3 linked regions of the Macaca mulatta genome follow. The protein of the gene in region 3 interacts with the protein of the main gene of each other region in a pairwise test. Links are inferred from orthologs where the notes say so. Each region holds a gene or a part of one and is shown on either strand. Other genes may lie near its edges.

The links.
Region 1: the proteins of ERBB3 (region 3) and PPM1B interact in a two-hybrid assay, tested with the Homo sapiens proteins (2 studies listed by BioGRID and IntAct, with this or other methods). The link is inferred for Macaca mulatta from reciprocal best matches to the Homo sapiens genes ERBB3 and PPM1B.
Region 2: the proteins of ERBB3 (region 3) and HDAC6 interact in a protein complementation assay, tested with the Homo sapiens proteins (2 studies listed by BioGRID and IntAct, with this or other methods). The link is inferred for Macaca mulatta from reciprocal best matches to the Homo sapiens genes ERBB3 and HDAC6.

The regions. Positions count from the first base shown.
Region 1 is NC_133418.1:80,680,400-80,684,097, forward strand, and holds the start of PPM1B (protein phosphatase 1B), read right to left. Parts: upstream 2,898-3,698; 5' UTR 2,472-2,897; intron 1-2,471.
Region 2 is NC_133426.1:48,900,575-48,904,223, forward strand, and holds part of HDAC6 (protein deacetylase HDAC6), read left to right. Parts: intron 1-1,307; coding exon 1,308-1,482; intron 1,483-1,599; coding exon 1,600-2,276; intron 2,277-2,359; coding exon 2,360-2,473; intron 2,474-2,603; coding exon 2,604-2,750; intron 2,751-2,837; coding exon 2,838-2,966; coding exon of another isoform or gene 2,967-2,981; exon of another isoform or gene 2,982-3,029; intron 3,030-3,152; exon of another isoform or gene 3,153-3,217; coding exon 3,218-3,286; 3' UTR 3,287-3,649.
Region 3 is NC_133416.1:63,241,753-63,245,401, forward strand, and holds part of ERBB3 (receptor tyrosine-protein kinase erbB-3), read left to right. Parts: intron 1-1,340; coding exon 1,341-1,414; intron 1,415-1,576; coding exon 1,577-1,667; intron 1,668-1,914; coding exon 1,915-2,120; intron 2,121-2,333; coding exon 2,334-2,466; intron 2,467-2,651; coding exon 2,652-2,742; intron 2,743-2,968; coding exon 2,969-3,123; intron 3,124-3,649. UniProt on the Homo sapiens protein: Tyrosine-protein kinase that plays an essential role as cell surface receptor for neuregulins.

The sequences.
Region 1 (3,698 bases), on a different chromosome or scaffold from region 3:
CTCCACCTCATGAGTTCAAGTGATTCTCCTGCCTCAGCCTCCTGAGTAGATAGGATTACAAGCATGCGCCACTACACCCGGCTAAGTTTTGTATTTTCAGTAGAGATGGGGTTTTACCATGTTGGCCAGGCTGGTCACGAACTCCAGACCTCAAGTGATCCACCCGCCTCAGCCTCCCAAAGTGCTGGGATTACAGGCGTGAGCCACCGCACCTGGCCTATATAGCCTCTTTTTAATAAATCACCACAATCACTAAGTGATACTGTGGCCAATTCTACTATTCCAAGACTGCCAAGACATAATCAGCATCGTATTTTAATTCAAAAGATTCCATAAAAAAATGTTAGTTATAGCAAAGATAACTTTCAACAAGAGCCACTTTTTCTGACCTTGTCAACCTGTGAATCAGCTGTTCTTAGAAGCACAGTTACTTGGACACTACACCATTCCTTCAGATGATGTAATCTTAAGGAATTTAGTAATTAGGTGAATTACTAACATAAAACAGTATTTACTGACATGACTAAACTGAAAGGCCTTTCACCTATTCCTAGAGTCTTCACAGAAATCAGACACCCAGTGTAAGAAAACAGTGTTGAAAGCTCTGCTGGTCACATCAAAGAGAATAATCATTTCAACAAATCCAGAGGATATCTTAAAGTATGAAATCTTAAAGCATGAAAGCTCAAATAAAACTACTACTGCGTACTAATACACAGCAACAAAAAGAACCACTGCAGAAACTGTTATAAGACTTTATGAGAGCAAAAACAAATGAAGAGGCGAAAACACAACAACCATTAAGAAAAAAAAAAAAAAAAAAGACAAAGAAGGCATTGAGAGAAGCAGCACAAAATAAAGATTATCCCTGAAAGAAAATCTGTTGACTAAAATATTCTGTTCTAAATACTTAATTTTAAAATTTCGATTAGAACAACACACTGTCCATTTGGCAGACCTACAAAAACATTTCCTTAAAAAATTACCATTACTTCAGCTATATTTTTAAAAGTCCTGTTCACTTGGAAAAGACTATCATAATAATTAGAATAACTTGTCTCACTATTTACTTAGAAATGCTCTATTTAAAAGTAGGCCAACAATAGGAACTTTGCTATTGCACAACAGAGAAAGTAAATGAAATAACATCTATTAACATTCAGTGTCCATAGCATGTTTCTCCATCTCCTAGAACATACTGTGACTTACACTGTCTACCCTGAACAATTTACCACTTCTTCATCCATGCAGTAGCTCAAATAAAGACAGTTCCTGTGTTAATCCCACAATAAGCCTCAGTAATTCTCACATCACCGTCGTTGTAAACGTTTGTTAACAGAAAAAGAATGTTTTTCCTAAAATAGCTACATAACACTAAGACTACTCAAATTCCTAAATAATCCTTTTACAACATGCCTGCCAACTTTATTTTGATACATTAAACATGTGGAGCCTATTTTAAAAGCTCTTTGTGATTTTATCAAAACAGCTTCCTAGTTATTAATGTCTCTTTTTAAAAGAAGTTTTTAGAAGAAATTGAATATTGATGAATTTGGGCTGCTATCAAATGCCTAGGAAGCACTTTTTTTGCCAGATAAGATGGGCAAACGTCCTAGATCTGCTAAATTTGACATGAGAGGTCATGCAATTTTTAAAAAATGAAGAAATAACTATTTCCAACACTCACTGAGTCCTTCATTTAAAAAATCATTTTAGGTGTTATTTTCACACTTTACGTTTAATAATACAATTTTTTTTAAGGCTGTTAGGCTTAAACTATAAAAAAACTGATCTATGGCTTGTCAGTCTATACTCTTAATGGGGCTCCGGTAGATTTGGGGTACTGAAAATAAGTGGCAGTTTCAATTAATAACTTCGCTGTTAGTAATGACATCTGAAAAGGATGGTGCTAGGGAAGGCAGACAAGAGATGCCGGGGGTACGATGAGAAGAGAAACACAATTTAAAGCCACTAAGGAGGGAAGGCGAGGGTAGAACGCACAGACAGCAGAGAAAGACGATTTAACAAGGAAGTGAAGTGGAGCGCAGAGTAGGGCAGAAGCTGATGAGGAAATGAAAGGGAAAAGATAGTGTTTTCAAAGAGGGCATGCACCAGGAAGAGCCAAGGCTTGGGGTAGCCCCAGCGCTTTCGTGTGAAAGAGATGCTTGAAGACTGAAGCGGAGGGAAGAGGCAATCAGTTGGCGTCCAGGCGTTCGAGCAAACTCCCATTCTCTCCCCGCGCCTCTCCCAGTCCTCAGCTGAGCGGAGGCGGCGGCCGGGGAAGGGGCCTACCCGAGAGCCAGGCACGGCGTGCCCCCGCCTAGGCTCCGCGGGGAAAGCAGCGAGGATTCGGAAGGACAGAGGCCCCGGCCGCGGCTCGGCGGCACCGGGAAAACCTGCCCAGGGCTCGGGGCCTCGGCGGCCCGGCCAGTCAGCCGCTTCCCCTCCGGCGGGGCGCCGGGCGGCCTTACCTGAGGCAAGGGAGGGAGAAGATGTCTAGGGCGCCTCGCTCGCGCCCGCCGCGGTACTCAACCCAAGTTTCCAACGGAGGCGCGACCCTGACTCAGCCGCCGCTTCCCCCTCGGGGTCTCGACCACCGACCGCCTCCGCCGCCTCCGGGGCTGTTTACACCGCCCGGCCCCTCACGCCGCCGCCGCCGCCGCTGCTGCCTTCTCTCCACCCCAGCGCCGTTGCCGACTCGGCCGCCGCCACCTCCTCCGCCGCAGCCTCGTCTCTCTGGAGCATCTTCCAACCACCTAACCCTGAGAATCAGAGACTCCAGCCGCGCCGGCAGGAAACTCCCCCGCAACTGCTAGGGGAACGAGGCAGTCAGAGCACTGGCGGCTTTTCCGCCATTGAGCAGAAGCCGCTCGGCTCCTTCTGCAACCCCCTCCCCGCACCCTAGTCCTTCCCCGCCCCTCAGGGAGCCCCGCCTCCAGCTCCCACCCACTGGGATGCCGCGCGCCCTGTCGCGGCCTCTGGTTTGCTGGGAGTCTTGTCAATTACCGCTCCCCCTCCCAGTGCTGCTCCCTCGACACCTCCGTACTTAGTTTACCCCGCCCACCCGGCCCCGCCTCTGAGTTTCTAATTTCCCATTGGACATCAGTGGCTACTTTCAATTGGCAAGGTCAGCTGTCCATCAAACACCGCCCACTAAGTGAGACCCAACCCTTTATTACCATTTACTTTATTCGGCCCCGCCTCCGCTAGGTCCTACCTCCCAAACGTCAGGGACCAGCCCCCGATACCAGCCATAAGTAGAGCCCGCCGTCAATCAAATAACGCCCACCTGCGCTCCTCCTAGCAAAGCCCCGGCCCCAGCGATTGCCTTCTCTTATTGGTCCAAATCGTGGTCCGAACCCCCAGTCACTGGCTTTCTTTGCGGGTCAGTCACTGAGCCAATTTCCAAGTCCGTCACACCGGCTTTTTTTCAAATGAACCCGGAAAAGGCGGGGAGGTATCTGAAAAGCGATTGGTTCGTCTTAGAAAACGGTCAAACCCAGAGAGTCTGTACGGATCCTTTCCGTTCTGTGAGGACCGTGCCCCCTTGTATTTGACCTCTAAGCCTTGCGTAAATCAAGCGCCATAAGGGACCAACGAGCAGTCCAGCTATAGGTGTGGACGCCTGGTCCCACCCGGAATTGCAAGGGCTTGGCTACTGATTGGCTAAGAAAGTCCTCCTAGGCCCCTATTGGAGG
Region 2 (3,649 bases), on a different chromosome or scaffold from region 3:
AGTTCTCTGCCTCAGCCTCCCAAGTAGCTGGGATTACAGGTGCCTGTCACCACACCCAGCTAATTTTTTTGTATTTTTAGTAGAGATGGGGTTTCACCATGTTGGCCAGGCTGGTCTTGAACCCCTGACCTTGTGATCTACCCGTGTCAGCCTCCCAAAGTGTTGGGATTACAGGCATGAGCGACCGTACCTGCCTCTTTTTTTTTCCTTTTGAGACAAAGTCTTGCTCTGTCACCCAGGCTGGAGTGCAATGGCACAATCTCAGCTCACTGCAGCCTCCATCTCCTGGGCTCAAGCAATTCTCATGCCTCAGCCTCCCGACTAGCTGGGACTACAGGCACATGCCACCATGCCTGGCTAATTTTTGTATTTTTAGTAGAGATGGGGTTTCACCATGTTGGCCAGGCTGGTCTCAAACTCCTAACCTCAGGTAATCTGCCCGCCTCGGCCTCCCAAAGTGCTGGGATTATAGGGGTGAACCACCATGCCTGGCCTGTGCTGTTATTTTCACCACTTTACAGATGAGGAAAATAAGTCACAGAGAAATTAATTGGCTTGCAAAAAGTCCCACTTACTGTGTGCCCAGTACTGCTTGTGACAGGACACGGTGGGAGTTAAGAACACAGATGACTCCATCAGAGAGCCCAAGTTCAAACCCCAGTGCTGCCTCTTCAGCTGTTATGACCTCGGACAAGTCATCTAACCACTCTGATCCTCAGTTTCTTTATCTGTAAAAAGAATAGCAACTGGGATTCCTGTGGAATGTAAAAAAAAGTCAATACAGGAGTCCATGTGGAGAGGGAGTCCAGTTGTTCCTGTACTAGGTCAGGGCAGGGTCTTTTGTATGGATTCACAGCAGTCGTCTTGTGCAGGTCAGGTCAGTGGTTACTGTATGATGTGAGGCCAGGGGTTCCTGGACAGTGTGAAGACGGATTTCTGTATGGCATGAAGGCAAGTTCCTGTATAGACTGAGCACCTGTGGTTGTGAGGATTGAGTTAATATGCATGAAGTACTTAAAATCAGGTCTGGCACACAGCAAACAATAAATGTCAGCTGTTACTAATGCTTTTATCAGTATCGTTATCTTGCACTTTACATCACAATTTACTCCCCACAACAACCACCTTACACAATGGGTGCTGCCCATCTTACAGGTGTGGGTTCTGTTCACTTGTTCCCAGTACTCTCCCTCCCTCTCCAGACTTGCAGGGCTCAGTAGGGAGGATTGGGGAGGCAGGACATGTTGCCCTCCAAATTCCCCAATGAACCCCCACCATACTTTTCCCTCCCCTTTTCCTTAACAAAGGGTGGCTATAACCTGACATCCATCTCAGAGTCCATGGCTGCCTGCACTCGCTCCCTCCTTGGAGACCCGCCACCCCTGCTGACCCTGCCACGGCCCCCTCTATCAGGGGCCCTGGCCTCAATCACTGAGACCATCCAAGTCCATCGCAGATACTGGCGCAGCTTACGGGTCATGAGTGAGTGGATTTGGGGGCGATGGAGGGAACTCAGGGAAGGAGGGGGCTGGGGGGCAGGGATTAGAGGCAGGAAGGAGGACAGTACCCACACTCAAGGATCTCCCTCCCTGGTTCCAGAGGTAGAAGACAGAGAGGGACCCTCCAGTTCTAAGTTGGTCACCAAGAAGGCACCCCAACCAGCCAAACCTAGGTTAGCTGAGCGGATGACCACACGAGAAAAGAAGGTTCTGGAAGCAGGCATGGGAAAGATCACCTCGGCATCATCTGGGGAAGAGTCCACTCCAGGCCAGACTAAGTCAGAGACAGCTGTGGTGGCCCTCACTCAGGACCAGTCCTCAGAGGCAGCCACAGGGGGAGCCACACTGGCCCAGACCATCTCTGAGGCAGCCGTTGGGGGAGCCATGCTGGGCCAGACCACCTCAGAGGAGGCTGTCGGGGGAGCCACTCCGGACCAGACCACCTCAGAGAAGACTGTGGGAGGAGCCACTCTGGACCAGACCACCTCAGAGGATGCTGTTGGGGGAGCCACGCTGGGCCAGACTACCTCAGAGGAGGCTGTAGGAGGAGCTACACTGGCCCAGACCACCTCGGAGGCAGCCATGGAGGGAGCCACACTGGACCAGACTACGTCAGAGGAGGCTCCAGGGGGCACCGAGCTGATCCAAACTCCTCTAGCCTCGAGCACAGACCACCAGACCCCCCCAACCTCACCTGTGCAGGGAACTACACCCCAGATATCTCCCAGTACACTGATTGAGAATCTCAGGACCTTGGAGCTAGGCAGCAAATCTCAGGTAAGGCCCACCACACCCAGGTAGGGGCAAGAAGGGGCAAGAATCAGGCTTCTCTGATACATCTCTTACTTCTGCGTGTCCAGGGGGCCTCAGAATCTCAGGCCCCAGGAGAGGAGAACCTACTAGGAGAGGCAGCTGGAGGTCAGGACATGGCTGATTCGATGCTGATGCAGGGATCTAGGGGCCTCACTGATCAGGTGAGCTCAGGCTGGGACTGTGGCTTCCTTCTCTTGCCACTTTGTGTCTCCAGGTAGGAGCATGTGATAAATAAACATATAATGGGGAGATGGGGTCTTCAGCTTACTCAGTTTCATCCACCCACTCCAGGCCATATTTTATGCTGTGACACCACTGCCCTGGTGTCCCCATTTGGTGGCAGTATGCCCCATACCTGCAGCAGGCCTAGACGTGACCCAACCTTGTGGGGACTGTGGAACAATCCAAGAGAATTGGGTGTGTCTCTCTTGCTATCAGGTATGGAGCAGAGGAAGGGGATGGGGCGGAGGTTGGAACTACAGGGGGGTGCTGACCCCCACCTGACACTCACACCCCCAACCTCAGGTCTACTGTGGTCGTTACATCAATGGCCACATGCTCCAACACCATGAAAATTCTGGACACCCGCTGGTCCTCAGCTACATCGACCTGTCAACCTGGTGTTACTACTGTCAGGCCTATGTCCACCACCAGGTGGGCCCTGGGTAGACCCTTCAACACGTGCACACTCACCCCCCACACACACACACCCCTTCTGTGATTGGGTAAAGGGAGACCACAGGCCCCTCTGCATGGCTGCCTCATGTGATTATTTTGCATGGGGCGGGGGCTGTGGGATAGTCCAGAAGACAGAGTGGTTGAGGGCTGGAGTGGGGGCAGCCCTGCAGCCGAGGTAGAGGGGTCCTCACTCTCTCTCACCTGCCCTATTCTTGCCTCCTCCTCAGGCTCTCCTAGATGTGAAGAACATCGCCCACCAGAACAAGTTTGGGGAGGATATGCCCCACCCACACTAAGCCCCAGAATACGGTCCCTCTTCACCTTCTGAGGCCCACGATAGACCAGCTGTAGCTCATTCCAGCCTGTACCTTGGATGAGGGGTAGCCTCCCACTGCATCCCATCCTGAATATCCTTTGCAACTCCCCAAGAGTGCTTATTTAAGTGTTAATACTTTTAAGAGAACTGCGACGATTAATTGTGGATCTCCCCCTGCCCATTGCCTGCTTGAGGGGTACCACTACTCCAACCCAGAAGGAAAGGGGGGCAGCTCAGTGGCCCCAAGAGGGAGCTGATATCACGAGGATAACATTGGCGGGAGGGGAGTTAACTGGCAGGTATGGCAAGGTTGCATATATAATAAAGTACAAGCTGTTAAAAA
Region 3 (3,649 bases):
AGATCTACACTGAAGTTGCAAGAATGGTGTAAAATTCCCCATATACTTTTTTTTTTTTTTTAATTGAGACAGAGTCTCAACTCTGTCGCCCAGGCTGGAGTGCAGTGGTGCCATCTCGGCTCACTGCAAGCTCCGCCTCCCGGGTTCACGCCATTCTCCTGCCTCAGCCTACTGAGTAGCTGGGACTACAGGCGCCCACCTCCACGCCCGGCTAATTTTTTTGTATTTTTAGTAGAGACGGGGTTTCACCGTGTTAGCCAGGATGATCTTCATCTCCTGATCTCATGATCCGCCCGCCTCGGCCTCCCAAAGTGCTGGGATCACAGGCGTGAACCACCATGCCTGGCCTCTTTTTTTTTTTTTTTTTTTTAAGACAGAGTCTCACTCTCTTTCCCAGGCTGGAGTGCAGTGGTGCAGTCTTTGGGTCACTGCAACCTCTGCCTCCCGGTTTCAGGCAATTCTCCTGCCTCAGTCTTCCGAGTAGCTGGAATTATAGGCATGTGCCACCATGCCCGGCTAATTTTTGTATTTTTAGTAGAGACAGGGTTTCACCATGTAGGCCAGGCTGGTCTCGAACTCCTGACCTCAAGTGATCCACCCGCCCCTGCTTCCCAAAGTGCTGGGATTACAAGCGTGAGCCACCACGTCCGGCCCCCCATATACTGTTTTACCCAGATCCTCCAAATGTTAACATACCACATGTGGCTGGATGCAGTGGCTCATGCCTGTAATCCCAGCACTTTGGGAGGCCTAGGCAGGTGGATCACTAGGTGTGGATCACGAGGTCAAGAGATCGATCGAGACCATCCTGGCCAACATGGTGAAACCCCATATCTACTAAAAATACAAAAATTAACTGGGCGTGGTGGTGCACTCGTAGTCCCAGTTACTGAGGAGACTGAGGCAGGAGAATTGCTTGAACCCAGGAGTCGGAGGCTGCAGTGAGCCGAGATTGCTGCCACTGCACTCCAGCCTGGGCGATAGAGCAAGACTCTGTCTCGAAAAAAAAAAAAAGTCTTCCTTTCCTATTTATTTACTCTTATGGATACTTATTTTATTCTAGTCAATGGTTATGATCTTTTACAATCATCATTTATTTTAGCCAGCCCCTCCAAGCTGGCTCCTGTGTTCTTTGGGCTGTACCCTTAATTCTTTGAGTCTTTTCTTGTCTGCACAAGATGCTCTAGGCTCATATAGTTCCCCCATCCCAGCCATTTCTCCAAGGAATGTTTCCTTTTAGTGGAGAATGATATTTAGAAACCAAATTCTGAGGCTTGGTGTGCTCACTGCCACTGAATTATACCTTTACCTTATTGACTGGTTTCTACTGTTCTACTCAGAGACCCCTGGCACAAGATCCCTGCCCTGGACCCAGAGAAGCTCAATGTCTTCCGGACAGTACGGGAGATCACAGGTGAGTGGTAGAGAGTTTGGCCTTTCTAGAATAGACGAACCACTGGCATAAATTGCGGTATAACTACTTGAGAAAATCATGTCCCAAGTTACAGGGGAGGAGCTAGGAGAACCCAAGAAAGATGAAGTCTGCCTGCCCATATGCCTCTCTCCAACCCCTCAGGTTACCTGAACATCCAGTCCTGGCCACCCCACATGTACAACTTCAGTGTTTTTTCCAACTTGACAACCATTGGAGGCAGAAGCCTCTACAAGTGAGTAAAGACTATGGCAGAAGTGGCATCTTCAGGCATTCTTGAGTAAAATACAAGGCACCGTCTCATACAGCAGTACCTCAATACCAAAGGGTTTCAGAGTTTCATGAGGAAAAGGCAAAAGGAGGGGGATTCCCTCTCAGTGGATCTGACTAGCACTGAGCAAATTTCTTGACTAACATGATTCCATTGAATAGTTAATGTTCCCTTAGTAGTCTCTCCTCTCATCCTGTCTCCTTATTCTCAGCCGGGGCTTCTCATTGTTGATCATGAAGAACTTGAATGTCACATCTCTGGGCTTCCGATCCCTGAAGGAAATTAGTGCTGGGCGTATCTATATAAGTGCCAATAGGCAGCTCTGCTACCACCACTCTTTGAACTGGACCAAGGTGCTTCGGGGGCCTACAGAAGAGCGACTAGACATCAAGCATAATCGTCCGCGTAGAGACTGCGGTGAGGGAAAGGGTCTGCTGGGTGGTGAGAATAGGGAGTCAGGGAGGAGAGAGCTGAAAGGACTATTCTGCCCTAGACATGGGAGTAGGGTTGAGGGATGGAACCAAGGAGAAAGGGGCTGTTAGGCCGGAAGCAGTAACGAGGAAGAATAATGAAGAGAGGGCTTGCTGGGAGTCCTCAGACTCCTCTCCTAACCCACCCCTTCCTTTCCAGTGGCAGAGGGCAAAGTGTGTGACCCACTGTGCTCCTCTGGGGGATGCTGGGGCCCAGGCCCTGGTCAGTGCTTGTCCTGTCGAAACTACAGCCGAGGAGGTGTCTGTGTGACCCACTGCAACTTTCTGAATGGGTACAGTGAGGGGAGCCAGTCAAGGATGGGTGGGGTTGGGGCACTGCCATGGAACTGTTCAGGTGGCATATAATAAAAGCCTTTAGACAGCTTTCTGCATATGCCTTGGTGGGAGTGAGGTAGGAGACCAGGTCATGAAGGTCAGGACTTGGAAGTGACCCCTCTCCCTTTATTCCCCACTGCAGGGAGCCTCGAGAGTTTGCCCATGAGGCTGAATGCTTCTCCTGCCACCCGGAATGCCAACCCATGGAGGGCACTGCCACATGCAATGGCTCGGTATAGTAGCAGCACCAGGATCTCCAAGGGAGACACTCCAAGGGAGACAGAGAAGGGGCAATACTTGGAGCATCTGGGGAATGATATGGCTAAGGATAGTACAGAGAGGCCAGATAATGCTAGGGCCTGCAGATAGAAGATCCTGAATGTCTGGGTTGGTTTTTGCTGGGAGGTATGGAATTGACCTTGGGATCTGATTCTTCCTGACCTTCTCTCTTCCACTCAGGGCTCTGATACTTGTGCTCAATGTGCCCATTTTCGAGATGGGCCCCACTGTGTGAGCAGCTGCCCCCATGGAGTCCTAGGTGCCAAGGGCCCCATCTACAAGTACCCAGATGTTCAGAATGAATGTAGGCCCTGCCATGAGAACTGCACCCAGGGGTGAGTGATGGGATAATAAGGAGAGGGGGTCAGGTGGAAGGGTAGGAGCACAGAACTAGGGTGAGGGAAGCGGAAGCAGAAAGAAGAGAGGCTGTGATTTAAGAATCTCTCCCAGCTGGCCGAGTGCAGGAGCTCACACCTGTAATCCCAGCACTTTGGGAGGCCAAAGCAGGTGGATCACCTGAGATAGGGAGTTTGAGACCAGCCTGACCAATATGGAGAAACCCCGTCTCTACTAAAAATATAAAATTAGCTGGGCGTGGTGGCGCATGCCTGTAATTCCAGCTGCGTGGGAGGCTGAGGCAGGAGAATTGCTTGAACCCAAGAGGCGGAGGTTGCGGTGAGCCGAGATCACATCATTGCACTCTAGCCTGGGCAACAAGAGTGAAACTCCGTCTCAAAAAAAAAAAAAAAAAAAAAAAGAGAAAAAAAAAAGAATCACTCCCAGCTGTGTAGCGAAGGATTGGAGAAAGGGAAAATCAGTAACAACACAAAATTACACCACGGTTTTGGGAACATGGAATAA